Linked DNA regions of Caenorhabditis elegans. The protein of the gene in region 1 purifies or fractionates together with the protein of each later gene. This does not show direct contact. Each region holds a gene or a part of one and is shown on either strand. Other genes may lie near its edges. The genes, in order: R05D3.9 and C05D9.3.

Region 1 (15,387 bases):
CAGTTCGTTTTTAAAAAAATTTGGTATGCGAAGGAAGAGATAAATCGTATCACCTTATCAAAACATTCACAGTAGAAGCACGAAGACCTTATAAAGGGTCACTATGTTATCATTGATAGGGATGAAATTTAACAGATATAATTGAAAAGGACAAAGTTCAATTGTTGGAACCTACGAGTGGATAACCGAATAGAACTGGGAAGTCTCAAAAATCTCCCAGATTGTTCTCATCGGTTCGGTTAGAAACTTAGAAAAAAGATATCGGTGTTTGAAAGTTAGTTAGAAAGACACAAACACATGTGACATATTGAAAACAGGTTGCCGGAAATTGTCGTATTTCGTCCCGGTGGAGAAGCTCTTTGTTGTGGAGTCGAATTTCGGTAAATCTTTTTTTTACAATTTGAAAATAGATAGCGGCCAATAGAAAATTGGTTATGAGGTCAGAGTGTTTTTTGAGTGCGTTTTCTATTTCATTTCGGCGGGGACAATGTTACAACATGACCTCGTAAATTCGTCAAGTGAAAAGAAAAAACTTCAAGAACTCAACGTGTAAAGAGCATTTATAAAAGCGGTTAACTTATCAAAGCATTGAATCGAAATTATTGGAGGTTTTGGAAATTCTAAAATAATTGCTAAAAACAGTTTTGAAAAAAACATGCATTTTCATATGAAAAATTCGAAATTGATTAGCTATACAGGTGGTAAAGAGCGAGATAGTGAATTGAAACAAGGAGGAATTCTTTTTGTCTTCCTTTGACTAATTTACGGTTTCTTTCGCCACAAAAAGCATCCGAAACGCGAGAAAAATATATGTGTCAATAAAGATAATAGGTCGACGTTGACTTAAATTTCGCAAGTAAAAATTTCCAACTCCTGTGTGATTTTAGTGATTGCAAAGAAAAACAACGACATAAAAAGAAGGGTTCAAAGTGTAAAGGCTGCGTGAAAAGAGAGTGAGGCGAAATGTGAAATGGGTAATCAAGATTAGATAAGAGACACTGAAAAGGAAACAGAAACTGGTTTTTTCACGTGAAAATTCGAAAAAAAAAAAACAAAATAAAAACATAAAAATGGATCAGAACCATGCACGGACGCTCAGTGGTGCAACCACTCTTACAATTTGAACGCGTCGAAGAAGAAAACCGAGAGAGCATGAGGAAATAAGAGACATAGAAAGACAAAGAGCGTGTCGATTCGAATCGAGATGGCTGGTTGGAGGAGGAGGAAACACGCACTCTCACGTGCTGAAAGGTTGTATTATTGATCAGTTGAGCTCTAATTTATGGTATTTAATTATTTTTGCGTTAAAAATGATGTCAATTCAAGAGAACAGAAAACAATGTCAACATTGTTTTTTTTTCGAAACCATAAGATGGTTCATTTCACAACTTTAGAAAAATCGAAATTATTCGCATAGCAATAACTAAAACTTATGTTTTACACCTGTATAGACAGTCTTAAACCCTAAAGTCTTAAAGGCCTATAGGAAGCCAATATCACTTCTGCACGCAAGGAAAACAGTGTTTCTGTTAAAAATCACGCTTTAGCAATTTTCTAAATTTAATAAATCTATTATAATAGTTTTTGTGCTTTATAACATTGGAACCCCCAAGAAAACGAAAGAAATAACTGTTAAAATTAATAAACTAAAAAAAATTTAAGTACTCCGAGAGGAGTTCACAAAGGCTGCGTGGTGAGACCTATGCAGCTAGAGAGCACGTCGAATGGAGAGACCGAGAGGAGAGTGGGGGCGCGAGTTTGAATTTGAAAGTGATTTGCATTTATTATTAAATACAAAAATTAAAAAAAAACTGTATTCAATGTTACACAAAGATTTCGATGAATATTCAGAAAATAATCTCTAGATTTCTGACGGCAAACATCAAAGGAAAATAAGAATTTGAATCAGAAGGTTTGACAGGAAAGTAAGAACAAAAGCTTATTGACCAATCAATCAAACTTACAAATTCCAAATCAACCAAGCTATTTCCCGAAACGTCAGTTTTTGCGAAGTTTTTTTTTTCCGAAATATCCATTCAATAAATGTTTACCAAAGTGTCAATGAATTGAACGCAAAGAAAGCAGAGACACCCACGTGTCTCTTTTTCTATTTTCAACTTGAAAAAAGTTTATGATCTAAGGAACAGGTGTTACATATTTGATATCTTAAATTTTGCAGAAAACGAGAAAAATTGCATTTTGAAAAAAAAAGTTATTTTCATTCAGATCACGAGATGTGTATGAAATTAACGTCAACGGAAGTAGTAATGCGAATCAGAGAATGTTGTATAACTGAATAGAATGATAGGAAGATTTATTCTGATAATTCATGTGTTGTGATGATAAATAAATAAGCTTACCAAAACGCAAAAACAATTATTTTATCCCGAAATATCTGCGAATCCATGGGAATTCGTTGCAAAAAAAATAATTGAAAACGTTTGAGATATAATAAAAGCGAGAAAATGTGTGTGAAAATTTGCAGCTGATAGACTGAGGCTTATGGAATTGGGAAGTTTGGAACTAATTTTTCAAAAAAAGTATGATAGTCGTGAAGATTTCGAAAACGGAAACAAATCAAAATATTTTATCTAACACTTACATAATTAAGTAATATTAAATCTTCCAAAGCTGAGATTTAGTCCAGCGTTACACAGAATTCTGAGAATACGTACATACATATTGCGCAACATATTTGCCGCGCAAAATATCTCATAACGAAAACTACAGTAACTCGTTGAATGACTACTGTAGCGTTTGTTTCGATTTATGGAAGTAAATTTTCATAATGGATAAAATTTTAAAAGAAAACACAAAAAAAGAATACAAAGCATTACGAAAAATGAAAAATTGAATATCGCTGTCAGAATTCGAACAGAAATTCATTTCGAAAATGGAGATCCCGTGAATCGACACCAGTGCTACAGTAGTCATATAAAGAATAAATGTAGTTTTCGCAACGAGATATTCTATTCGTCAGGTATGTTTTCCAATGTGCATTCTCAGAATGTAGTGGTCAAGTAATAGATTTTCATTTACATTTCAAAAAACATAGCACCTTACAGTACTCCAATAACCCTTGAGTAACAGTGTAGTTCAAAGCGAAAGACCTTGTAGACTTAGGTACTTTTGTGCCTGCTTTCAGCACTGCTCTCTCAAAATTCTCCACACAATAAAAACACCAAGAGCTTTTCCGTTATCATCCCAGTCAATCAGAAAAATCCAATCAATTTCCATAACCCTTCTCCTCCTCACACCACACAAACACACACTTTACCATCGTTCCCGTCATCAAAAGAAGGTCTTCTTTTCTCCGGTTTCTCTCGGTATCTCATTCCCAAGGACATCTCTCGACTTCGTTTGCCCATTCATTCTTACTTCTTATTGTCATTCTTGACATCTATATTCTTTAAAAATGTGGCCGTCGAATAGGGGTCCTACATTGTTTCAATATTCAATCAGGTGTCTAGGATTTGTGGCATTTATCGGAGTTGTAAGGTAAATTTTTGAGGGAAAGGAGACATCAAGAAACTGTCTCAACTAGTGACCTAGATTCAATAAGTTGATGGATTAGTTGAAGAGTGCCCCGGTTCACAATATAAATTCTAGATTGCTTCAATTGGAATATTTTTAGAAAACCTGATAGTAGCTGAAAATTACAGTTATATGGCTCAACGGAGTTGAGTATTCAATCAAAATTATTCTTTTGATTAATTGTCAAGTTTGGTGGGCAAGAAAACTTTTCTAAACCGCTCCTATGGTGCTAAAATGACCAAATAACAGTAAAACATTTCAAAACTTTGTTGAAATGTTTTTTTTTTTCGAAAATGAGGAAACTCAACGTTACTGTAATAATTTTGAAGCCGGCTAAAAATTTTATGTTTCAATGTTGATACCAGTTTTAAAACTTTAGCATTCTGGAGGTTTGAAAATCACTCAAAAAACCCACATTTTGAATATTTTGGTAATTTAGCAAAACTTTGACTGAAATTTTTGAACAGTCTAAAAAAGTTTTTATTTATGATATTTAGTCGTTGTGGACGTTTATTTAGAGCCGTAATATTTTTCATTCAAATGTTCTTAGATGACATATTTTCAGATGTCACTGTCCTCATATGATGGGAGTTAAACCTCCGGGACCACCATCTGGACCAAGCCCGCCTGGTAAATTTCCTGATGGAGATGAGGTGATCTACTTTTGAAATTTTTTAAAAATACTTTTGTATTTATTATAGGGATGGGATTACGATGAGACAGCTGCACCAGGAATTGTTCCAGAGCCACATTTTATTCAATCTACGTATATTTATAGATCTCCAAATGGTAAGTATTGCGGTACAATTTTTTCCGAAATAATATTTATTCCTTGATAATAAAACTAAATACACTTTACTTCAAAAAGCCCAAAAATAGAATAATAATTAATTGTTTATAATTCCAGTTCAAGAGAAGACATTTTCTTCGAGAGTGGTGAATGTACTGAAAGATATCCGAACAAGGCTTGCTAAATCTGCAAGACTTACATTGGAAAATGAGAACGTAAGCTGAATTTTAAATATTAGTAATTTCAAGGTGAAACTTCCAGATTGAATGCTCTTCTCCTACAGATCACTATAGGTGTCAGGAATATCCTGCTTCAGGAACTTGGAATTATTTGATTGTTGAAGATCAGTAAGTTCTTAAGCTTTTTCTAAAAACCCAAATCTTAAAATTCCAGACAAAAAGGGGCAGTTACGTATACATTCGATCGAAAGTTCAATGAGAAAAATGATGGAACTATTGAAATGGCACTTTTGGAGTGAGTTTCCAATTAATTTTATCTGGAATATGAGTTTTTATTTGTTTTATTTGTTTCCAAATATCAACTGCTCTTTCACATTTTTCAGTGAATTTTTTTTTCTAATTTGACAGAAAAAAGATCTTGAAGGGTACGCGTAGGTAGTAGGTAGGCATGTAGGCATCAGGAGGGAAGCACACTCATATGTAGCTAGGCACCTGGAAATGGGACAGAGACCTAACCAGACAGGAAGGCGCCCAGACAGGTGTGTAGGTAGGACGTGCCTGGTCCACCTTAATTTCCAAATTAAACAGGCACCCGTGCCTTAAGAAAAAAGGCTGTAGACACGTACGATAAAATGATATACCATTTTCCGAGAGCAGCCAAAAATCATTGTCATTTTGATTTTTCATTCATATAAATAGAAAATAATTCCAGTGCATTTTCTCGTCATTCTCCATCATCTCTAATTGCATTTGCATCATCTGAAGCTGAAAAAGAAGTTGGATATATAAGAGCTTTAACAGTTCAGGAAATGGATGTATGTTTCTCACTTTCCAAACTACAGTAGTATTAACGTCTTACACATTTCAGTCTTTGAGTGGAAAACGAAGCCATCAAAAAATCTCAATGGAAAAATTTGGTCCAAACGAGCTTATACTTCTGGAGCCTGCACTTCTAGAGGTTCGAACTGGCGCGAATCTCAAATTGAACTCAGATTCCTTGAGAAGAATCGATTCAACAAAAGAATTTGATAAACTTCTGGAGGAGTTCAGAAATGTGTTCATTTTATTCTGGAATAGCAGTGAGTCATTTTTTGATACAATATTTATTTGAACAATGGGAGGTGAAATTGGAAAAACAAAAAGTTGTCCAATATGGAAATGATACAAGAAGAGATTGGGGAATGTGTGGCCTTTCATATGGGAGTATTGAAGACTACAGGATGAATTTAAAAGAAAAATAGACAAAAATTTAGAAATAAATGGTTTCAGACTTCGGCTAGTTCCTTCTTGATCTCACTGGGCCCAGGTTCATTTGAATCAGTGATCGAACTTCCAGCTCCAACCATCTTCATCAAATCCTCTAAATTGATCTCAAATCCTTCCTCCAGTTTTATCGACATCGTCGGAACACCTCCTTCTTCGTCTTTCACAATTTTCAACTCGGTCTGCTTGGCTACATCGGTATCGTAGATTTTCTTGAGAACCTTTGTACGTTGTCTTCGATGATAGTTGGCAACTTTCGGACGGACTTGGCTCACAGACTCGATCACCACAACCTTATTTTCAGCTTCTTCTGCAAGCATCATTTGGAGAGCTTTCTCGTCAAAGTCCTTGTTTTCTCCGAAATCACCATCTTTCTTTTCTTGCATTGTGTCGATGATTTTACGTGTTCTAGTCACACATTCTTCAGCAAGGCGATCAACTCTGAAAATTTTGGACTGTAGTAGTACGGTAGATTTCTTGAAATTTCATGACTTACTCCATGGCAACATGAAGATCCACATCACTAAGCATCACAACTCCTTCAACACCTTTGTGCTGAGTTCTGATGTGTTGATCTACAAAGATTTCACGACGTCTGGCATAGCTGCACGCGGAGCACTTGTATGGACGGTAGTTCAGATGAGCTTCGATGTGATTCTTTCTGGAATATTCAGATAATTAATCGAATCACTTTCGGGAAAAACGAACCGATTTCTCGAACAAATCCATTCGTTGCAAATCACACACAACACGTTCTTGTATCTTCCGAATGCAGCTTCACGAAGTTGCTGAATCTCAGATGTAGGACCAGAAGCAGATGGCGAAGCAGACTGTGCAGCAACAACTGGAAGCATCACAAATCTGGGCACGGGCTTCATGCTAGTACATGAACCTCTGGAATGAAATATTGAGGTTTTTTTAGTCTTTCGGTAGTTTAACACACCTATTTTGTGGCACAGCATCTTCTCCGAGTGCCGAACTCAACGTCACAGAGGAATCACCGGATCCTGCATTTTGCGCCGGCTCCGAGACTGGTTCCCGTTTGACAGCTTTTATGATAGAGTGAAACTTCTGCTGCTGCTTGAATGGAGATTTTGGAGCATTCAGAGGACCGATTGGGTTCAGAGAATTAGGTGGCATTGGAAGAGCAGCGACGTAGTTGCCAAGAGTGTTCGCCAGATTTTCATCTCCACCAGCTTGGATGTATCCGTGGAGAAATTGCCGGAACGCAGCTGAAAATTGAAGCATATTTATTTTAGATTTCAAGGAAAGTTATCAAAATATTTAATTTGATGACAAAAAACAACAAACCCAAAAGAGTCAGATAGTTCAGAGCATGAGGCGAAGTCGGTGGTGGGTTGGGTGCAGTCGAAATCATGGATGCAAGGAGTGGAGATGAAGTCTCAAGTGGTTCTTGTTTCACTGTAGTAGCTGTCTTCTTCACTTCCAACGATGATTCCATTTCGATTAGACGTTTTCTCATATTTGGAGACTCCATTCTGGAAACACAATTTCAGTTAGCTTTTGCCGAACAAACCATAAACCTTTAGAAGACGTAAGCAGTTCTGGATCACTGTGTTCTGGATAAACAAAACTCGAACTGATTTATCTGGAACAGTTTGTCTTCGGCACTTGGATGACCCTACTTGAACTTTCGACCTCATGGTGACCTATTTGACGTGGTGACCCGCAGAACTGAAAATTAAGATATAGACAGGTGCAGAGAAATTGGATTCTTCATGCGACGTGATATTGAACATTTAGCACGTGAAAGTTTTGAATATATTTTTCAAAGTTAAATATATACAAGGTTTTTTTTAAGTGTTAACCAAATTTTCAGATAGAATGGTCAGTCTTCATACATTCAATCTCTGGTCACGAGTAGCCGACAAGATAAAGATTTCTGAAGGTTTTCCATAGAAATTTAGAGAAAAATGGCAATTTTATAACTTGCAGACACTCTTTTGGCACATGTTCCCTGTCATGACAACGCTGATTTTTGTCAGGGCCTCAACTCTGAAGACTATCATACTGTTGTCTCGTATAGAAATGGGCAGAATACTGGAAAAACCGAGAATATTGGGGACGTGGAGTTTTACGAAAATTGGGTTGAATTGTGAGTAAATTTTTAAATTTAGATATTACTTTAGATAAATCCTTCCAGATCACTATCCGGAGCGATTCAAAGACTTCCAAATGAATCGAAGCTTTCCGAGTTTAAGAAAGGAATTGTTGGAGGGAAGAAGCGATCATCAGTGACAATTGGAGTATTCCCATCTGATCAGGATACATCTTTTCAACACTTTCAAATTGCCGCTGAGAAGTTATCTGGAAAATATTATGTAGCTTATTTTATAAACGAAAAGTAAGTTGGTTTAAGATAGTAGTCGCGATACGATCAAATATATTTTAAATAAACCTTTAAGGTTTTGTTGGTTTTTTTTAATCGAAAATTATTGTTTCGAAGAACAATAATAACTGAATAATTGAAAAAATCGCGTTTTGTGTAATTTTAGATGTTATTGAACAATCAATTGGTTTGAAGTGTGTTCATAGACTTTCAATTGCCCCTAGCACAATTAAAAAAGCAGAAAAAATCATGAGAAAATATGAAAATAACTTAAAATTATGCTGAAAAAACAAATTGACAAATTAATTATTTGATTATCCGAGAGGAGTACACACGAAGGGCGCTTATTTGCGCGCGGAATTTAAAATAGTTTTTTTTCCGAAACTTCGAAAACCTATATGTATCCTGAATAACGAAATTTGTCTAATGTTTCGATTATAAAAAAACGTCTTGCCAGAGAATATATAATGTCTTAAAGAAATTTGCAATTTGGAAATGTGGAAATGTGGAAAAGCAGTAAAAAACGAGAATAACGTGCACTACCGTACTCCTCAAAGGCGCACATTCCTTTTCGTAGCCTTCAAAAAACAATTTCCGATCGTGTCGAGACCATTTTTTTCCAGCTGAGTAATGATAATAATCTTTTTTCAGCTCAAAACCGGCCATAACCACATATCGTCATGCTGAAAAACAAAAAAGAACGGATTATTCAGGAAAATTTGATCCAGCCACTTTGATGGAGTTTATCACAAAATCTTCGATTCCTTCAATTGTATGTTTCTATTTTATATCAAGAGAAAATTTCAAGTTTTAGATTGGTATTTCAAATGGTTTCACAACGGATCTACTGTTTCATCAAAAACGTCCAATTCTTATTCAAATTGGCGGCGCAGGGGAATTTGAGCCTTTCTCGAAGTTGTCTGCTCGGCAAGATGCTCGGAAAACCTATATTTTCACAAAAATTGATGGGGAAAGTGAGATGATTAAGAAAACCAAAAAAGCATTGGGAGTTGGGGAGAACGAATCAATAATTGTGTTTTTGAACAAGGATCGAGTGCATCGAATTCCAATTTCAAAGCCTAAATGCCCTGATCATCTTCAGAAAATTCTCCAGATGATTATTACATCTGAAGCGGATCGTGAGTTTTTCCAGATACTTAGCCATACGCGAAGTTTCGTGATTTTTGTTGAATTTAACAAAGAATTCATCGTGCCGAGACCGAAATTACAGAAGTTCTCTCAACAAAAGAGCCACATCCATTAAGATATCTTCAAGTTGAAAAAGTGAACGAAGTATTCGGATTCGAGGAGACTCTTGTTCTTCCAGATCACACACTTTTCCTGGATTCCGATGTAAGTAAAAGTTTTGTTTCCAGTCAAATAAAATCTCTTGAATTTTCAGCCATTCTCTCGTCATCCACCAATTACAGAGGGTGGTGGTGGTGGTTGCCCATTTATGCAAGGAGGTGGAGCACCAACAGAATCTAGTCAACATTCAGAACTTTGATATATTATCATCATGCATAATTTTTGAAACAAGAATAACTATTACTATACATTTTTAATAAAATGAGAAAAAACATAAGAATTTACAACTTCAAAATTATATCAATATCAACTTCAACAAAGTTCATAAACTTGTGGATGTGTGCGTGCCGTGGCATCATCACGGAGATTCAGAGTATCAGAACAGAATTCAAATAATATAAGCCGACTAACTATAGAGATAGTGATTCAATAACTTGATAGGATGAGACAGTTTAAGATAGAAGCTTAGAAATTGCGCTGTGAGAGGTGGGGGGAGGGGAAGGGACCAAAACAGAGAAAACGGAGGACAGAAACCCATGTTGAACTGAGAGATTGAGAAAATGAGGAAATTTACTAAATAATTTAATGGCGGTTCTAGATGAAAATACGATGGAAGTCATTGGCTCCGAAGTTGCTGTTGCATTTCGGGCATTTCCGTTGACGAGTGTCGTACCTGGAATTTTTTGAATCATAAGCTAGAAATGCGAGATATCGCTTGAATATGTATTTTTCGTTTTACTCCGACGCGAAATTTCAAGCTGAAAATACACGACAAAATGTTTTGTTAAATGGGAAAAGGTGTGCGTCTTCAAAGAGTACTGTAGTCTCAGACTTTTGTTTTAGCGGAATTTTCATAACTAGTTGCACTTTTTTATTAGTTAAAAGATTGTGAGAAATAGGTATTGTAATACCAAATTCTCACAATTTGTTAAAATTCGGGTTTTTTTTAAATTTCATATTCAGTTGACATTTTTTATCGAGAAACTATGAAAAATTGATGAAAATTTCGTAGCATCAAGAGTTTGAAATTACAGTACTCTCTAAAGACGCGTGTCGATACATTTTTTTTAATTAAAAATTGAAAATTTTTGCGTCTAGGTCAAACCAACCAATTTTAGTGTTTGAAAAATGAAACTAACATAGTCTTAATGCAAGTTTCACAGAATAAATGATAGCATTTGAGCATAATACAATCCTTTGGCCTCGTTTTACATGATGGACAAGTCAGTGTTTCTTTCATTTGTCGATTCGCTTCCTCGAGGACTTGATCACCACTTTGAGCCGGTACAGACTCATTTCGTTTTACTCGTTCATATTTAATTCGAAGCGTCTCAAGTTCCTCTTCAGCACGTTGTCTCTTGAATTTAAAATCTTCGATTTCACGTGCCTTGGCAGCGTATAATTCTTGAATTTGCTTCATTTGACCTTCACATCGATCCGCTTTAATTTGGTTTTCGTCTCGTGACATTCCAACTTCTTGAATGTTCTTTCTATGTTGTTCCATCAAGTTTGTGAGACGTCTAAAAAATGATATTTTAATTTATGGATTTCTTAACATTCAAAACTAACGTTAATTCGGCAGATTTGAACTGAACTGATTCCGACAGTTTAGTTACCAACTCTTCATTTGCTTTCTTCTCAAATTCGTGCATTTTTGCTATTTGAGCATCTGTTTGTGCTTTACTTTCCAAACAAGACAATTTTTCACGCAATCGATTAAATGTCTGATTCTGAATCATTCGATCATTCATCATTTTCAGATTTCGATCCTCCTGTTCCCGCTTCTCAATGTACAGTTGAGCATTCCGTTCTTGTTCTTCTTCTACAGCTGTTCCAATGGCTTCTAACTCATCAGATATGCATTCTTCGTCATTAGTCAGCATTTCATTGGTCTTACGAAGAGTCTCCAATTCGGACAATTTATCAGCAATTTGACGATTGACTTCTTTCTGTAAATTCTCACACGGGATTGTAGAGATATGAACAGACGCAGAAATAATGTTTTAGAGTTTACTGAAAGTACCAAATAACGAAAGGACGTGTACTTTGAAAACACATTTTTGTCAAATAAGGTACAATGACTTACTTCGACTTGTTTCTGCTTCTCCTGTTTTTCCATTGCTCCCAGTCGTTTTACTTCTTTACACAAAGATTCGTATTCTTGACGAATTTTATTAACATCTTCCGGTGGAGCATTACTAACGTCTTCAAGAGGAACAAGTAGACATTTATCCTGGGCTTCTTTCAGTGAAGTTAACTCAGACTTGAGAGTGTTGATATCTTTTTGAGATTGCTTATCCTTTTCGCGCAAACGAATTTTCTCTGATTTTAACGATCTATTCATAGATCGTAGAGTATTCAAAGTTGCTTTCATTTCATCCCACTCGCTTTGCTTCACCGTCTTATTATATTCTTCCTTAACAGTTTCGAATTCGCAGCGTAGAACTTCACTGTCATGAGATACTTTGTAGAAAGAATTGTGAATATCCGATTGACATTGAATTTCCTTCAGCGTCTTCTGATGTTCTTCAGACATTAGCATTGCACGAGCTTCCTTTGCACTGCGGAAAGCATCACGTTCTGTTGTGATATCTTCAAGATCTTTGCTGACTCGCTCGTATTCTTTAATTGCTAATGAGTAGTACTTTTTAAGATTCTTGTATTCCTCCGAGTTGACAATTGAATCCACAGAGAAGAAAGTTTGTGTCTGCAACTATTTCAGAGGTAATAGAAGAAATTCGGGTAAAAATTTCATATTTTTGTAATGGATAAAAATTAATATATAGTCAAAACGGTACCTCTAGTCTTAGCTTGCTATTTTCCTGTGTTAATGTTTGAACTTTTTTATTCATCTCCTCGAGATCTTGAAGGCGTCGTGATGCAATGGATTCCTGTTCATCTCGTTCAAGACGCAGATTTTCGATCTGAAATTATTTTTTAAAAATGCGTTATTCATTTCGATTGATAAAAAATTTTTAAATCTCACTTCTTTTGCAGCTGTTTCACTTGGTGGAATATCTGGAGCTGATATCTTCTTCTCAGTAGCATTTGTTGTACCCGACGAAGACGGTGTCGCCCCTCCGTTCCCTCCAGACTGTCCCTCCGAGACGAGGGTGGCTAGTTTGTACTCAAATTTGTTAGCAAGACGCATATGTTTGTCAGTTTCAAATCGGGCATCTTCCAATTGATGTTCTAATTCTTGAACTCTGTTCTCTTGTACAGAAAGCTTATCCGTTAGAATACGCTTTTTCCGTTCCAAATTGTAACAATCGCTTTGAACTTTGGTAACTTCGGATTGAAGCTTTTCATTTTGTATAGCTAAACTTGCTGCTTTGGCTGTAAGCTCCTTATGGACACCATTTGGATTGAAGGTAGGAGAATCGATCAATGTTTTTAGTTTATCGATGAAAATGGTGGATTCGTGAGCCCGATCGTGGCGCGCTTTAGCATACGATACGAATGCATTCCGTCTATAGAAATATGTAAATTAAGAGTGAATTTTAATAATTTAAAACTCACAAATTCTGCTTTGCCTGATCAAAGAACTTGTTATATGTTTCATTAGTCATTCCAAGAACGTCTATACCAGTTGGTGCAGTGTCTCCTCCGATGTATTCTCCAAACTCATTCTTAGTTTGTGTACATATGTATTTCTCAATCTGAAAAAGAAAATAACTAATTGCAATCTGAAAATAAGTAAAAACGTACATCTGAGAACATATTATAAACCTTCAGAAAGTTGCTTTCGTCTGTCTGCTGCCGCCTCTTGGACCGTTCATTTTCTTTTTCCAATTCGGCTATTCGCTTATTTTTGTACAACAATTGCTGCTTTAATTTAGATGTCTGATAAACTACGGCACGAGCTCTTATATCGTTCTGAAATCGTTAGGGATTATTAATAGTATCCTCGATTTTAAATGAAAGACATACCACGTTGCTAACAGCGGGCATTCGGACCGGTTCGAATTGAATTTTGCGTCGTTTTTGTTGTCCATCGTCACTCGGGCTACTTGCATAATTTTCTCCTCCTATACCTTCATTACTTCTTTTCATCATACCTGAAATCAATACGTTTCTAATATTGTATACAAAATGTTAAAGAGATGGTAGAAAGCAGGGAAAACAAGGAAAAGATTTTAAACATATTAACGGATACTTAATCAATGTTTTTGAACAGATTTGATGACAATTTTATTGTTTTTGGAGTGCAAAAAAGGTGATTACAAAAAGATTTCCAAAGAGACATTTCAAATGGCACTCTTTTCGTTGCGAGACCTGAGTGAGAGAGTGTGTGACTACGGTCAAGAGACGGAAATGGGGTAGATTTACGACCGAACAGCATTTACGAGACTTGCGGGACTTTCGAATTCTTAATTCGTTTTTTTCTCCTCAAATTTCGGTCTTTCGTCCAAATAACAATGGTAAAAAGGATTTTTGTGCAAGGATTGGATAGCTATACAACGGAATCGACAGTTAAAAAATATTTTGAACAATTTGGAACTTTATACGAGTGCATTCTACCTCCTCCTCCTAGATATTCGGTACAGAAACTCTTGTTCTGATAGAAAATGTCATTATTTTCATTTTATAGGTATTCGACAATGGACCAGACGAGGAGAAAATTTCAACACGATCATCGATTCGATATGAGCCTGTGGAAAATGATGATGTATTAGATGACGAGCTCGATGTCGAACGATACGATGTTGAAAAACACGGCGATTTTGAGAGTTACATGAGTACGTAAGTTCGAAAGCTTTTGAAAAAAGTAAAAATGCCGAGTTCCAGAAAAAATTGGAGAAGGTGAAGCATTTATCAAAGAGCCGAGAAAGACTAGCGCAGGCTACGCCTACATCACTTTCGTTGATTCGAACGGATATTCAAATTGCATGAAATCAGATATTCATGAAATCGATCGAGCCAAATGCACTGTTGAGCCAGCAAAAGATGAAAATGATAAGAAGTTGAAAGTAGAATCAAAACGACTTTTTGTTTCTTATTTTCCACTAGACAGATTAACTTCAAAAGAACTGAAAATGAATTTTGGAGCCTACGGAAAAATCACAGATGTAGAATTTGTCAGTGTAAGTTTTTAATTATTTGTATGTTTATTTCATGTTAATTTTTATTGTTGCAGGATTCAGAAGGGCCGCTTCACTTCTGCATTATAACTTTCGCAGACTCCAGATCTGTTGATGTTCTTCTAACCAAGTCAATATACATCAGGGTGAGAATATAGAATGCTTTCAAAAAAAGATGCGACTAATTCTTCAACAAACAATATCAGGCGTAGTCATCAGGACTTGATTGCAACCTCGTATTATAACGCGTTATGAAACATTTTTCAGGATGTTCTGATGTTCACCCGACGTGCTGTATTGAAGGAGTCCGTTAAAATAGCGGAACATAAGATAAAAGAGCAGGAACAACAAAACCTCGTGCAACTAGTAAGTTTTATAAAGTTTAAATAAATTATCTTGTAAAACGTGTTTTAAAATATTGCATTACATTTTCAGCCTCCAAATCACACTGCTTATCTAACGCCGTCACGTCCCGTAACTTCTGTACATGCCTCATCATCTGCTTCATCAAATCACTATGATCCATCTGCAGCAGCAGGATATGCACCACTATATCATCAACCACCAGAATCAGATCCATTGTCTCAATGTGGCTATGGACCGAGAAAATGGTAGCTGTGATGATCAAACAAAACTCATATATCTCAAATTACGGTTTCACTTAATTCGAAGTTTACGAACATTGATTTTAAAAAATAAAATTGATTTATCTTCGAAGTTTCATTCTCTCGTAACTTCCTTTATTCTCTACTAGTGAGCGCAGTGAGCGAATGTTCTGTGAGTGTTTGAAGAGGCCGTCCGTTGTCCCTCTGACCGAGAATAAAACATTATACAAAATGAAGAGAACACAGGGAACCACGGATGTATCTCTGTGTCTCTTCA
Region 2 (15,014 bases), on another chromosome or scaffold:
ACTGCTTGAATGGTTTCAAAATCTGAAGTTAAAAAAAAATCTGAAGCTAAGCTAAATTAAAAAAAAAATTGCCTAAAGTATATTATTAACCAATGTCTAGATTTGCTGATAATTGACACAGAATTTCCAGAAATTTTTTATTTTCAAAAAGATTTCCCTTCCATTCCATTCCATAACTTTTACTTAATTCCAGAAATGTGCGACAAAGCTGACATTCACTTCTTCAAAACTGGCGTCAAACCAGTGTGGGAAGATCCGGCGAACTGCAAAGGTGGAAAATGGATTATCCGACTGAAGAAAGGATTGTCGACAAGAATTTGGGAGAATCTGCTCATGGCAATCATTGGAGAGCAGTTTTTGGTTGGAGATGAGCTCTGTGGAGCTGTGTGCTCAATTCGCAATCAGGAAGATATTATATCATTATGGAATAGGTTAGTGCTGGAATTTAAAAATTAAAACTTGGAGTATTTGGGAACTGGAAAACGTGAAAAAAACAACAATGCCAAATTGTGCAAGACCGACAAAAAACAACTGAAAACATTTCACACCATAAATCTTAAAAAGTCTTAGTGGAATTTGAAAATGTCAAAAAAATCTACTAGTGCTTCTGCCAGATGTGAAAATAGTGTAATTGCAAATTTTGTTAGCATATCTTTTGAATGAACGCGCCTGTTGCTTCAAGAGGTCACCAAATCTTGTTAGAGCTCCACTTTGTCAGATCAAATTTTGCGTAATTTTACACTTATTATTTTCTGCAATTTTACTTGGAAAGTAGAACAGTTGTGGAAAATTGAATCAACAAATTTGCCATACACCCTGATGACATTCCCAACTACATCAATTTTCCAGAAACGCAGACGACACCCCAGTAACCAACAGAATCCGAGAAACTCTTCGATCGGTGCTCCAACTGCCTCAGAACACGGTACTAGAATACAAACGACACGATGACTGTCTCAGAGATCAGAGCTCATATCGTCATACTACTAAAAATATCTGCAAATGATCATGCTGCTTTACTATTATTTTTTTCGATTGGGAATCATTTTGGGTCCGGAGAAAAAGAAAATGAGAGGAATCTCGTTATTGGTTTTAATATATTCTGTATAATGACTAGTTTTATGATTTCAAGTTTTTTTTTGAATATGTGGTTTAGTCTGGCGGCTCTTGGAGCTGATGGACACTTTTAAATAAATTTATTCTATTGAAAATTAATTGAAGAATTCTGCATTAACCAAACAAAATAATTTATTAGATTTTAAAGAATCATCATTAAATGTTAAAGGAGTTGGTGCATCACGTTACTTTCACAACCCTACATTAAAAAAAAAGTTATTAAAATACAGTCGTTTGGTAATCATCATGAAAAATGGACTCACGAGATGTCGACCGCTTTAATTCGTTCCATAAAATTTAAATAATATAGACATACAAAAACATATAGACCGAGCCATGAGCTATGTTTTGTTAGTTGAAAGTGTTTTGATAGCATCTCTAGTTTTGGAGTTATTCTTATTTGAAAGTGGATATCTTCTTGGCCAGCACTGTACTACGTGATGACCTAATTTTCAACTATTCAGCTACAAAATCAGATAGCTCAAAGTCGAAAATATATACCCCTCTTTTTTCAAAATTGCAAGCAAATTCACTAACGAAATATAAAAGTTTATTGGAATTAGAAGTGTCAACTGTAAATGCCACGTGGCAACCTCAGATTGAATCGGATGTTTCAAAATTCGAAAGTCCATAACCAAAAGTCGACGCACCTGAGTTATCCGAATTGTAAGTACATTACAAACTGAAATATATAGTTTTGTCTAAATCTTACGGAAACTGCCTCCTGCTGACCTCAATTTCAAAACTACAACTCCAGCAATTAGGTTAAAATGTAGTTCACAAAATGTACAACATTTTGTTACTTGACAATTTTTCTGTATCTCTAAAAAGAAGTGAGATACACTATCCAGAAAGTGACCATCTTTTCCCCCTCGAGCCCCCAACAGCTTCTGGATTTATATATTTTATTTAAAACTCAAAAACCGCAGGGCGTCGTGGCGGGCGTCTGTAACCTAGCCGGGGGCTGTATTCAGGGGGAGTTGACATCAAACCCTGTCTTTCTTTCATGATGTCATTACTAAACAAACTAAATTTTCTTAAGTGGAGCTTAACTCCCAAAAAAAAAATTTTTTTTTAATTTTGCGCGCGCGTGCACGTGGCATGGCCTCTTCGACCTTCAAAAATTTAATGCCCTATATCTCAGCTTAAATTAGCGATAGAAACCTGAAAATTTATCTATAAAGGTTTTCGACTCTGGGCTTTCAGAATTTTAAATGACATTTTAAAAATTAGGTTACCACGTGGCAATTTTTTTAAAAATTTCTTTGCCTTTTTTGCAAGTGCGCATTTAGGCCATAAGCGGCTACTAGCTAGAAAAAGCGATAAATTTCTGAAAATTTATGTGACTAGGTTTTAGACTGTGACCTTTCAGAATTTGAACATTTAAAATTGAAGTCATCGCGTGAAAATGTTGTTTAACTCGTATACATAGCTTTGTATTTCCCTGCTGAAAGTATGTAGTCATCTTAAAAATCAGACATATAGGGTTTCAACAATGAGTTCTCAGATTCTGATGTAAGCAACTTTAGTTTATACCTGTCCAATTTCTCAATCAAATAAAAATGTAAAAAAGAATCACGTGGAACCTCTCAAGCTGAAGTATTCCGCCTGAACCAACCATTTTTTTATGTACAACTCTGTCTCCAAACCTCTCAAAACCCTTCAAACTTTTAGCTCCTTGATTTCTTTGTAAATCTATTCCACCTCGATAATCCATCTTTGTAACCTCTCTCAATCCTCATTTAGACGTCAAGGATACCCCCTACCATTAGCCGCCCTCCGAGGAAAGGAACAAGTATAATTGTACAAGCCTAATGTCACCCCATTTGATGGACATGTGTGTACTTGTTCCATTAGCCACCTACCTTTTTTCATACTTTTCCATTTCAACTATTCAATCTATGTAGACTACCTATGGATAAATTTCATTCTCTGCTAGTAGCAATATTTCTGTTGAGAGCTTTGGAAGGTAAATAATATGAAAGTTATTCAAAATCAATTAATCCGTTCAGAAACGTATTCAACGTATCATGGAAATATCTATGGAATCCAGAAGTTGAAGGGCAACAAAACTGGAAAGTCGGTTTATCAACATTTTTGGTTTAAAAGGCATCATGTGCATTTGTGAGTTCACGTATTAATTTTAATTTTTACATTTAAAGTTAGGTGCTTTGACTGTAAGATACAAGTTGTCAGAATTTGAAAAATGTGGTGTGAATAGAAGTTGTCACGTGGCATTGGCAGCTGACATTTTAGATTATTAAAAGAAACTTAAAAATAGAAATAAAACATTATTGTCATTAATTTTGAAAAAAAATGTGAACAAACCCTTTAATTTTTATCTCAACAAGTAATCAATTTCTTTGCCTAAACTGCATTTTTGTGTGAAAATATTATGTTGCAGAAGACAACGGTACCCAAAAACGCTAATGTTTGCAAGGATGTCGATGAGCCAATGCTCCAAGAAAAAAGTAATATTTATAAAAAAAATTAATCATGACAGGTACAGACAGTCAGAAAACGCAAGTCCAGATAGGTTTTTTTTGAAATTTGTTTCAAGATTTGAACTATAAACTTTCAAATTTATATGTTCCCCCAATCTTAAACAACTTTCAACAGATTAATTTAAAAAAAAACCCCCCTTTTCAGAACATCAAAATCATACAAGTAAAACGAATTGGTGGTGATTACCCATATGGTCCAAAACTGTCATCAATCTCTGAAAACCAGATATGCCGCCCCACAACAAGCCGCTCCTCCTCACCTCATTTTTCTTCCATCGCTTTTTCAACTTCCCGACAACTCAACTTTCCCAAGGTCCGTTTGTTGGTGTGTTGCATTTCTTTTTATCAATCGAGGGCTTTCCGTGCACTATATGTTGTAATACTTTGTTGAAGACCCCCTGTGTACGTTGGGTACACCAGTTGGGGAATGAGATAGACAGTGATTGATTACTTGATGCTTTGTGGTTTGTCGGGCGGGGATTGAGTCAGTAGATCCAAAGAGGAGAAAACAAATATTGTTGCTCGGGTACATGAAATTAGCAACATAGTTTCATGGTGTATCGACATGAATTGAATTTTTTTTTTAAACTTGCTAACTGAAATTTTCTAAAAATGCTTTTGCCTTTAGTTTTGTAATTGAAAAAAAACTGATATGTATTGTTAAAACTCGCAAGGGTCACCGTTGAGCAAATTTATAAGCTGGTGATTTTTCTGTCTAGAAATGCAATAAATCTTTTATTTTGAAAATAAAAATAAATAGAAAATATTATGGTTTTTTTAAGGCGAGACCTATGTACCCAAATTTGTATGTACCTAAATTTGATTTTTTTTTTCAAACCAAAATATAAACTGCAATTAAATGAAATTGATCAGTGTAAATTTTATTAATTAGTACATATAGTACAGTATAGTGTATAATATAATATGCTATAAGATAGTATAGTATAAGTTAAATGTGCTTTAAGTTTCAAATCAAATAGATTTCAAAATTGTATTCACCTAAAGTCTAACCTCTGTTTTGAAATATTTCAAAAGTGAAAATTTTTCCACTGTGAAATTCAGTGGCAATGATTCTTTAGTAATGCAAATTTGTTAGAAACAGATATACAGTTTTTTTTTATGAAAAAAATATTTACTCGTTTTCAGGTCTTTTTGGAATTGCTATGCTGTATAGAAACACTCCTAAATTTTCAAGTAGAAATTGTAAAAGAAATTTCAAATTAACTGTTCCACGTTGCAACTAGAGCTCTCTAGAAAAAATCCTTTACACTATAAATTGGAAATAACTCTAAAATACTTTTCAGAAATCTTCGAAATCTCTGAACCAAGTTCATATCAACCTGGCAAAGCGAAAACAGTGGAAACGAAACAAGGCGTGGTGTACTCATTGTGAGTCATACTGGAAGATGAAGATTAATTCGAAACAGTTGAAGTCTAGATACCCGTGCTGTTGAATTATTTTGAAATATTTTTTTATTTTAAATAAATGCCTATTTTCCGCGTGAAATTATAATTTTTACTGCAAAACGACAACCTGTGCTCATTTCTTGGATTTATACTGAAAATTTGAGTTTCAGGTTGTGCTTGAACTTTGTAGATTTTATCAACATTTAAACATCCAAACTTCTGGAAAGCCCAGTTGGTCAGTTTTATTGGCGTTTTAATTACTGTAAATTGATACTTGATAGATGCGCAGACAATTCAACTATAAAAATATTTCGAAGACATTTCTCACAAGTTTCTTACAAGTACACCAATTTGTAAATGTAGTTGTCTTCAGGAAACCCCATCAAATCCAGGATACACATATAATTTGCTCTCCGAGCACTGACCTTTTCTCCCGATAACTATACAACTTGCTCCTCCCCCTTGCAAACTCTCAGAAGTTGCCCGCCGCGGTGCAAAAAAAACAACAACAACCTTCGATATAATATCAATTCTCTCCTCTTCTCGCACATTTTATAATCCGCCGAAACTCGGAAACACACAGTTTTTATGAGTAGTGGGGGGATTTGGGACTTTAGGTCACATAACAGCTGCTCTTTTATACACATTCCGATGCTCTTTTTTCGAAGGAACTGACTTTTTTTTGGCGAATGAAATTTGTATCAAAACATTTGATATAGTGAAGATACTAAACATTTTTTGAAGTTTCAAAGTTCCGTCTTCAAAACAAAAAACAAAGCAAAAAAAAAGTTCAGTTGGTTTTGGGTGTGCACCTAGTCTCAACGCCATATGACAGAATGTAGCGTCTGCTGCTGCTGGCAGTTACGGCTCTGGCACGCCAGATGCCTACGCCTGTTGTGTTTCATCTCATACCTCTGTACTCGAGGTTTTACCCCCCTCCTACCCCCACTGTTTATTACTTTGCTCGACATGTGCTGTTCTCAAGTTATTTGGCATCCCTTAGCATAACCCACCTCCTCACGAACTTTTTTTTTACTTTTTTTTTCCCCATTTAGTTAACTTTATTGTTTAGTTTTTTCAAAAGTTGTTATCTGATTTTTCATGTTTTTCACTTCATTCCTTTATTCCGTTTAAAAATTCTAGCTTGTGAAATTTTCATGATTCCACCTAACACCTCAAAACGTATACCAACTCGTTGAATTCTTAATTTTCATATTTAACTCCAAATTGAAAGAGTTTTCTCACTTCCAGAAATTGCTAAAAATCTCAGTTCCATATTGATTTTACGCGATTTCTAGAATTAGAGCAACTTTCTGAATACAACTTTCATAACTTTCGTTATCCTTTTTTTAGAGGCTTAAACCTATTTTAACGTTATAATGTAACTGTTTAGTTTGTAAATAATGTCTACGTAAATTTATAATTTGTATTTTTTGTTGTCTGGTTTTGAAATATCAAACCCCAAATGTTAGATTTGAGAAAGCCCGTTTAATTTTGAATTTTTCTATTGTGAGTACTTTTTCAGTTCTTTAATTTTTCATTTGAATCCCCAAAAAACTCAATTACTGGGCTTGAATTCATCTAGAATCTCCACATTTTTTCGAAAACACCGTAATTTTCTGGTAAAGTTGACCCAATTTCGATAACTTTTTTTCAGATGAAAATGAAAATTGAGCCAAAAAAAAACCCTACTACTCCCGCCCTTTCTATATTGCTCTGAAACCGAGAACATTCTGGAAATCTGGTTAATTTTACAGTCCCAAATTTAATTTTTTTACTTCAAAAACCATGTTATTTTTAATATGCACAATTTCAAGTCCACCATCTCTTTTTTTTCAGAAATCATCACAAAATGAAGTCCCGGATTTTTTTTATAACATTACTGACAATAGTTGCCGCTCAAGAATCCGCAGATCAGTTATGCAGTAGTTTCGATGCCCAGCAGAGCTGTGGACAGTGTATCAAAGCACATGCAGAGTGTGCATGGTGTATTGATCCCGTATGTTTACTTTAAAGTGCAGGGGTTTTGAGAGGGGGTACTAAAAAGTTGGACGTCTTAGATTTCTGACCTTTTTGTAAAATTTGATATCTAGCTAGTTACTTTGAGTTAGTTCAAAAGATTTTCCAACTAAAGAATTATTTAAAATCGTTTTCTATTTGTATAGTTCATTCCTTTTAACTGCAAATTTTCAAAAATTTTAAAACTGGGTTTAAATTTAAATTTAAATTTTATTTTTATTAATTTTAAATTTTAATTTTAAAGCGCCACTCTACATGCACCTGAAAAATTGTAGAATATCACATTACAAATGTTATCTTAGTTTGTAATTATTTGGAAAAAACCGAAGAATTAAATTATAGGTGCTTTATGATGCTTTATGATGCTTACAATAATCGTGCAGTTACAAATTCAGAAAAATTATAAGTGCATATGCACGTGGTGTCAGGCTGTCCTATTATGGTTTGATCTACAAAACAAGCGGGAATTTTTTGTCAAAACAACTGTTACGTCAGCAAGCTCTTAGCCATGCGAAATCAGTTGAGAAGTCTGCGTCTTTTCTCTTGCATTTTTTGTAGATCTATGTAGATCAAACCAAAATGGGACACTCTGACACCACGTGCATATGTGAATACTTTTGTTTCGCAAAAAAACTTTCAGCACTCTTCCCTTACAAACCGATGCCAGCTGAAATCCAAGTTTACCAATGAGACATGCACGCCGCACTTGGTGTATTCTCCACAAACCGCTCAGGTCAAAATTCAACAAGTAAGTGTTACAGTGGTATAGATCCTCGCTGTTTAACCTTTAAAATGTTACAATTTTTGAAAGTAAAACAGCGAGGAGGCATACCCATTGGAGCCTAATTTTCCAACTTTTTCTCCAGAACTTACCACTTGAAACCAAACAGCATGATGGTAAAACCATTGTTCGACAACAGCCACAAGCGGTTTCCGTCCGTCTAATGCCATGTAAGACTTGCGTTTTATTTTTTAAATACGTAACATTTTCGATAATTTGCAACTTTGTAGCTCACTCCGCCACCGTTTCTTTCAAGTACCTGCATCAAACTGACCCAAGCAGACGGAGCACCGAACCCGAGACTATGGAAATTCAGACTTCTGATGTTAAAGATACTCCACTGCAATTGAAATTTTTCATTGTCTGTGATGGGTAGGTGAAGATTTCGAAAAACAATTTTTATAGGAATCATTTCAGAGAGTTGAAGGAGACCAAGTCGTGCCGTGTGCAGAATAATCAAATCGTTGAATTTAAGATTGAAGTGAGTCTTTTTTTGTTGAAAATTTTGTTTGATCTCCAAAACTGGCAAAAAAAAGTTGTGGATTGCTCGTCACTGATATGGAATCTGCCTCGATTTTTCGAAAACATAAATTTCTCCTAAAAATTGAATTTTTTATCAAAATCTGAAGGCAGTGACCTAGGCAGGTGCCTCTTTTTGAATTATTGGTCGTATGTTTTCAATTTTGATGGTAAACTTGTGAAAAAATGGGGACAGCGGTTTTTTGACATGCTAAATCCGAATATAAGGTTCTATGGTAATCATTTAGTTTTCCAATATTACCAAATTTGAGAGGGGTTACCATAGCTGCAAGGCAAATTAAATTTAACAAAGGGTCGCCCATCACTTGGTTTTTCAAATTTTAATTTTAAAAAGCCCCGCACGTGTTTTCAGCTTGACCATTCGGTGTTATTTGTGCAAACACCGTCACGCGCAAATGTAGACATTTTTGCACGTGCGGTTGTGAAATTCCTCTTGGCGAATTCAAATATTTTTCCCGCCTTTTTTGAAAATTTTCGAGGCGTTGGTCTAGCTGAATAAACGTGTCCTGTGAAACACAATAAAAAAGGGCATACCTTATAGACACACCCCTAGTAACCAAATTTGCTATTCAGGTACGCTAGCAGAGACCAAAATCTGCTACTGAAAAAAGCAAAAAAGTCGCTAACCAACAAGACAAGTAAGCAAAAAGTACAGAGAGCTGATCGACACTAACCATGGTTCTAATAATTTTTTTTCTGACCAAAAGTGCTACGCCTAGACAAGCTACAAATTTTAAATATTGATCCACGTTTTATTTCCGAAATTTCAAAATTTTCAGGTTCTCGTCAACTCGTGTTCCAGTACCGGCGATATTACACTATCAGTAGGTATTCTTAGACAACGCACAATTGCTGGCCTCTACGTCACCACGATTTGCGGGTGTGAATGCGAAAAGCATCCGGTAAGATGATCCCAGCCACTTAGCACTTTTTACGAAATTTGAAACTTTTCTCTTTTGTTTCCTAATCACTGGCAATCATCAAAAAAGAATAATATTTTTTTTCGCAGGAAATCAATTCTCGATTGTGCCATCAAAACGGACATCTCGTCTGCGGACAATGTGTTTGTGATCAGTCACGTGGTGGGGATAAATGTGAATGTCCGCTTGCTTCGCATGGAGTTTCCAAGGCTTCTGAATTGGAGGACAAGTGCAGATTGTAAGATTTTTGAAATTACAGAGCGTGAGAAACTAAAGTTCTCAATAATACAGTCAACATTAGATGTTTTTAGCAAAGACTAGTCTGCCAAATTTGACTTTTTTTTGAATTAGGGAAATACATAAAGTTGCTGAGAATTACACTGACAATATTTACACTAAATGCAATAACCATATTGAGAGAGCACGTGGTGTCAGAGTGTCTCATTTCGGTTTGATTTACGTAGATCTACAAAAAAATACGGGAATTGAGACGCAGAGTTCTCAACTGATTTCGAATGGCTAAGATCGTGTTGACGTCACCTGTTTGGGCAACAAATTCTTGCATTTTTTGTAGATCGAACCGTAATGGTACAGATCAGAAACTGATCAAACTGTAATCCTTTGAACTCTACTTGCAAATAAATGTTTCCTGGCAAAACAATGTCAAGCTGGGTGATTTGTATCGTTGAACTCGGGGCAGCAAAAATGACGAGTTCTGACCATATTTTGATAACCGAACTACCAAAGTTAGGTTGTTGTATTATATACCAATGACGACCTGTTTGATCCTTTGTGCTAAGGTAGCCTTGCTTAGCCTTATAGTTTCGGAGTTCTGGAACTCTATATCGGGGACAAAAACCTTCAGAAGTAGAGTCCTCTCAAAACCAATCGAGTATTTTTTCAGCAATTCATCTTCCCCAGTATGCAGTGCATCTGGAAAATGCAAGTGTGGACAATGCCAATGCAACAAACCTACTGTAAGTGGTGTTACCCTCATAAAAATAACTATACAAAATTTTGTGTTGTTTTGAAATTTAATATCTTGTTATACATCATAGGTGACCGGCAAGTTTTGTCAATGCGACAACGACAGCTGCCCGTTGGCGGTCAATGGAAAAGTGTGCTCTGGAAACGGAGTGTGCGACTGCGGAGTTTGCAAGTAAGTGGTCGTAGTAATAATAACATTTGAGTGAACAAAAAATAGAACAATGAAATTCGTATATGTTACATCACAATCAGCTTTACAAATTCGTACTTTTTGCCAGATGCGAGATGGGATGGGAACGTGATGATTGCTCGTGCTCGACGGCATCCAACAATTGTGTGGACAATGGGGTAGGTGGTTGGGGGTCTGAAAATGTGAAGGCCAGGGTGCATGCATGGAAACTAGTTTATTAGTATGTCACCTTATTTGTCTTTAAAAGAATAAACTAGCTTGATATTGCCTGTGAATTTGAGTTTTCTGGAAAAGTGCAAATTGATACTGCATGTTGTTCAAAAGCTTGGAAAAACATCTCAAAAATATTTCTAATTAATCATCCAGCAGTGTATAAATTGTAATTCATTAATAGATAAGAAAATGGCTGCAAGTCTAACAATATATATTTTGTATTGTGAAAACTTTTTGACCTTAACATTCTTAAATTTATTTTTTCTAGGCGGTGTTTTTTTTCTGGGATACTTTGCATATTCAAAATTCTATAACACAGGTCCTCTTTGCATTGCATGAATTCACTTTAAACCTCATTCTTTTTACATTTTGAAGGAACTGTGCTCGAATAATGGGCGGTGTGAATGCAATCGTTGTGTTTGTAATATGGGGAAAACTGGGGCCTTCTGTGGATCTGACGAAAAGGTGAACTTTGTAGAGCTAGATAACGTCTTCTAATTGTACGGCTCAAAATCACAATGAATTTAACATTTTCAGACACCAGCCCCAGAGGAGAAGGATAAGCCAGAATCGGTGCCGGAGGAGCCAGAAGCCACTGAAAAACCAGACGACATGCCGTCTGACAGTGATCTTGAGAAGGAACTGGATGAGTCATCGAGTGCGAAGGAAGAGCAAACTTCCTCCAGTGGAGTTGTGTCGCGAGTTTGTGTATTGTTAACCTTTTTTCTTCTTGTTCTGAATTTTTAAGTAAAGCAATGAGCTCGATTTTCGATTTCTAGATTGCTCTTTCATCCTCTCTCGGTTTTCGAAAGTTGAACCCCACTTCTTTACACATGTTTCTAATGATGCATGTGTATTATAGGTACTTAATTTAATTTGGAAATTGCTGTAAAAAAGTGTACCGCTTTTTAAATGTGATTTTCAGGTTTAAGAGAAACCTTTTTTAGCCTGAAAAGTTAAAATAATTTAGTTTTACTTTCAAAATGCGTGCCTATAATACACAAGTTTTTTTTACCTTATATCTACATTTCTCAATATGGTTTATTTCTAAACAGTCAACTTGTCATACTTGGTAAAATCATCCGTTAATTTATTCAGAGTATCAAATTGTACTTGATATGCTTTTGGATAAAAGTTTTATTTTCTCTCAGTTTGAATTCAAAACATATGGAAAAGGGGGGTGTTTTTATTTTTATTTTTGTAGGTGTTAGAGGTGAAGCTTGCAATTTGTAAATTGCAAAAAAAATTCTGGAACTTCAAACCAATAAAAAAATAAATCTTCGTTTTTCAGTAAATTTAAACTCTGAGATTTAGGCACTATAAAAATTTCAGAAGCAAAACTCAACTCTGAATATCTGAAAATTGAGCCCGAAATATTTTCAGATACAGATAGATAGGTTTTTTCAGAAACGGATATTTTCATATTTTTCCTCGTATTTTTCTCCTTTTTGGCGATCTTCAAACATACTCTGCTAAAATATTATATTATGAAATTTATTGGAAGAAAAAATAATACATTTATCAGACCAGTATTTGACAATGTGACGGAAAGCATTAGAATTAATATAATATGAATTATTATTTCGAGATGCTCAAAATATTACACCAGAATTCAAATATTACTCCTGGTCCCTTACGCACAATAAAACTCGTCTCCAGCAAACCGTGCCTGGGACGTGCCAACGTGTTGCTGATAACGTTTGTACCGAACTTGGTCAGCGATTGACATTGTGCAGTGGAATGCCACACGGCAGACGTAGACGGAGACTGAGAGGAATGTTAGTGAGAGGCACCAGCCGACAATGCACAATTGGAACGTGGCTGGAAATAAAGTTTACTTGAATACTAGAAAAATTTACCATGTGAAATGGAACTGCTTTGCATTCTTCTTTTTTATCAAATAAAGTGTTGCCTTTGCACTTCATTTAAAAAATTTAGGTTATGGTGCATCGATAAGTCCAGTGTTTGAGCTCGATTGAAAATAATTGAAATTTAGTGATTTACTTGTGCTCCTAAACTCCTAAACGTTGACAGTGTATTTCTGCTTGCTTTGGGTTTACGAAAAACTGGCCAATTGACATGATACTTCTTATTTATTTTATAATGATTTAGTGGGAAATTACTTCTTGATTTTTTGATATTTTTATGTGCGAATCAAAATTTAGATTTAAGTACAGTTTCCGATCAAGTTTTCAACAATCACTTACCATCTACCAAATCCAGCTTGAAATGTGTAGAAACAAGTTGTGCACCCATTTTTGTGCACTGCAGGAAAAACATGAAGAGCTCACTTTCCGGCTTGATAAGCGCATAGGTAAAAGCCGTCAAGAAGACGGCACTGACAAATGTTTCAAGAGTCTGAAAACGGAAATTGGTTGCAGAATTGCTTTTAAAATACATTGACGTATGAATGTTCGTAACCCCTCGTGGGAACGATTTGAGCCGCTTTCACGTGGCGTCAGGCTGTCCCATTACGAATTAATCTACAAAACATGCGGGAAATTTTCCCCAAAAATGAGAAGTTTGCGTCTACATTCCAGAAATTCTCGTAGATCTACGTAGATCAAACCGAAATGGGATAGCCTGACACCACGTGTGATTTATTATTAATCCACGAAATAAAATTTTGAGCCACTAAAGACAAGACCAGCAGAAAATATTTTCAAAGTGATCCGAGTACGCGACTTGTACAAGTTTTATGAAAACAATTTTGAGTCGCTACGAACACTTTTAATTTCTTCAAAAACTCACTCTTAAAACAACGAATGGAATGCAGAAAAATGGCTGCTGGCGGATGATACCAATGTGCATCATGAGACTTGTCAGCACAATTCCACCCATTACTGCCGAGACGTATAGGATAAACTGAAAACATTTACGGGTTAAAATTTCACATTGGAATCAAAATAACTATGCTTTACCTTGTTTCTGATCCCATTGTAATACATAAAGGCATTGAAAGCAATCACAATAATGGCAAGGGCACAGTAGATGAAGGAAATACAATGGGCAGATGAGGACTCCTAAATTTCTGATTATTAAGTTGAAAGTTCAATCAGGGAATTTGCTCCGAACTTTGAATACCACAAATTTATAACCAGATCAACATCATATGAGTGACCTTCAAAGGGAAGGGAAAAAATGACATAAAATTGATTAATTCTCTTGCGGTTTTAATTATAGGCGCGTCGGCCTTTTATGTACCCAAATTAACAAATAAGAGCAGATGGGTAGAAAAAGGAAACATCAATTTTTTATGTCTTCTCTTGGTATTCGGCAGAAAATTTGTAAGAAACCAACATGCAAAGTAGCAAAGTAACGGAAAAAACCGACTCCCTATTTCTATGATAGAAAAAAATTTCAACATTTTTACGCGGAATCTATCGAGTTTTCGTTCCGATTATTCATTTGAAGTTATCCGTTTTTTTTTTCAAAAATCACTACCTCTTTGCCAGATCCCCGCTGACTCTTGGCAGATGTTCCTTGTTCTGGCTCTCTTCTCATCGGCGCCGACGACGGATTGTACTCCTGGCCGCTATTGTTTTTCGGCTCAAATCCTCCGTAGTAGTCATCTCTCTGAAATTGAATTATCAATGTTTGCAAGACATCGTTTGAAACTACCTGTGAATATGTGGAGTATGTGTAGTAGTCTGCAGTGAGGCAAGGTGCTGATGGTCTTGTCATTTTTGGGTCTGAAAATGAAGGTTAGAAATGAAGGGGTACAGAAAAAAGAAGAAAGAAAAGAAAAAAATTGCAACGACACTATCATTAAATTTAGAACTTTTTACATAGAATGATCCTAACTCGTAACAACTTAACTGTAAAAATTATATTAATAAATATTTTGTCAGTTGAAATGGTCTGACTGAACTAATGGGACAGCTACGGTAAATTGACAGCACTATGGCTCAATTTTTCGTGATATTTAACTTTTGATTTTTGGGCATACAGATAAGTTACTCTCGAAATTTATCAATCGATCCTTGGACTTTTTTGTTCGGCAGAGGCTGGCGGAGTTTACAAGCGTACGACGAGGTTTAACTTTTTTTACAGTTTTATAAATGGGACATAGATGAATATTTCGAATGCTAAATGCAAAAAGAATCAGCAAAAAGCTCACAGACCTGTCATTTTCTGCCGAAAAACGTCGTTTAAGGATCGATTGCTAAATTTTGGCAGTAATTTTGGGCACCGTTATTAAAAATATTTGTTAAAAGTAAGAAAAAGTATATTATTTCAAAAGTGAGCAAAACATGTTGTCTATTTCAAATGAGAATATTAAAAATTAATTAAAAGGTGCAAGTTAAAGAAGGCTGTAAAAAAATTAGCGTATGTCA

The links.
Region 2: the proteins of R05D3.9 (region 1) and C05D9.3 fractionate together in Caenorhabditis elegans (co-fractionation; one large-scale study listed by BioGRID). This does not show direct contact.

The regions. Positions count from the first base shown.
Region 1 is NC_003281.10:8,356,720-8,372,106, reverse strand, and holds R05D3.9 (uncharacterized protein), read left to right. Parts: upstream 1-3,387; 5' UTR 3,388-3,415; coding exon 3,416-3,498; intron 3,499-4,099; coding exon 4,100-4,187; intron 4,188-4,235; coding exon 4,236-4,323; intron 4,324-4,441; coding exon 4,442-4,539; intron 4,540-4,585; coding exon 4,586-4,671; intron 4,672-4,717; coding exon 4,718-4,798; intron 4,799-5,215; coding exon 5,216-5,318; intron 5,319-5,371; coding exon 5,372-5,582; exon of another isoform or gene 5,583-5,768; coding exon of another isoform or gene 5,769-6,207; intron 6,208-6,262; coding exon of another isoform or gene 6,263-6,427; intron 6,428-6,474; coding exon of another isoform or gene 6,475-6,660; intron 6,661-6,709; coding exon of another isoform or gene 6,710-6,998; intron 6,999-7,077; coding exon of another isoform or gene 7,078-7,264; exon of another isoform or gene 7,265-7,265; intron 7,266-7,310; exon of another isoform or gene 7,311-7,461; intron 7,462-7,606; coding exon 7,607-7,675; intron 7,676-7,722; coding exon 7,723-7,882; intron 7,883-7,911; exon of another isoform or gene 7,912-7,930; coding exon 7,931-8,131; intron 8,132-8,767; coding exon 8,768-8,888; intron 8,889-8,930; and 7 more. Other genes in the region: Putative zinc finger protein R05D3.3, read right to left, coding at 5,769-6,207, 6,263-6,427, 6,475-6,660, 6,710-6,998, 7,078-7,264; rfp-1 (E3 ubiquitin-protein ligase bre-1), read right to left, coding at 10,019-10,097, 10,564-10,944, 10,994-11,382, 11,511-12,131, 12,223-12,348, 12,411-12,894, 12,944-13,083, 13,133-13,300 and 1 more; Putative RNA-binding protein R05D3.8, read left to right, coding at 13,843-13,965, 14,016-14,163, 14,213-14,508, 14,562-14,651, 14,773-14,871, 14,941-15,120.
Region 2 is NC_003284.9:1,105,037-1,120,050, forward strand, and holds C05D9.3 (Integrin beta epidermal growth factor-like domain-containing protein), read left to right. Parts: upstream 1-6,879; coding exon 6,880-7,026; intron 7,027-7,686; coding exon 7,687-7,794; intron 7,795-7,912; coding exon 7,913-7,997; intron 7,998-8,057; coding exon 8,058-8,199; intron 8,200-8,244; coding exon 8,245-8,308; intron 8,309-9,146; coding exon 9,147-9,269; intron 9,270-9,376; coding exon 9,377-9,525; intron 9,526-10,191; coding exon 10,192-10,264; intron 10,265-10,345; coding exon 10,346-10,446; intron 10,447-10,552; coding exon 10,553-10,622; intron 10,623-11,052; coding exon 11,053-11,142; intron 11,143-11,214; coding exon 11,215-11,424; 3' UTR 11,425-11,815; downstream 11,816-15,014. Other genes in the region: ife-4 (Eukaryotic translation initiation factor 4E-4), read left to right, coding at 194-431, 850-1,006; C05D9.4 (uncharacterized protein), read left to right, coding at 3,031-3,085, 3,129-3,240, 3,521-3,587, 3,766-3,933, 4,925-5,074; C05D9.7 (uncharacterized protein), read right to left, coding at 12,311-12,498, 12,885-13,035, 13,429-13,542, 13,599-13,700, 14,122-14,253, 14,299-14,361.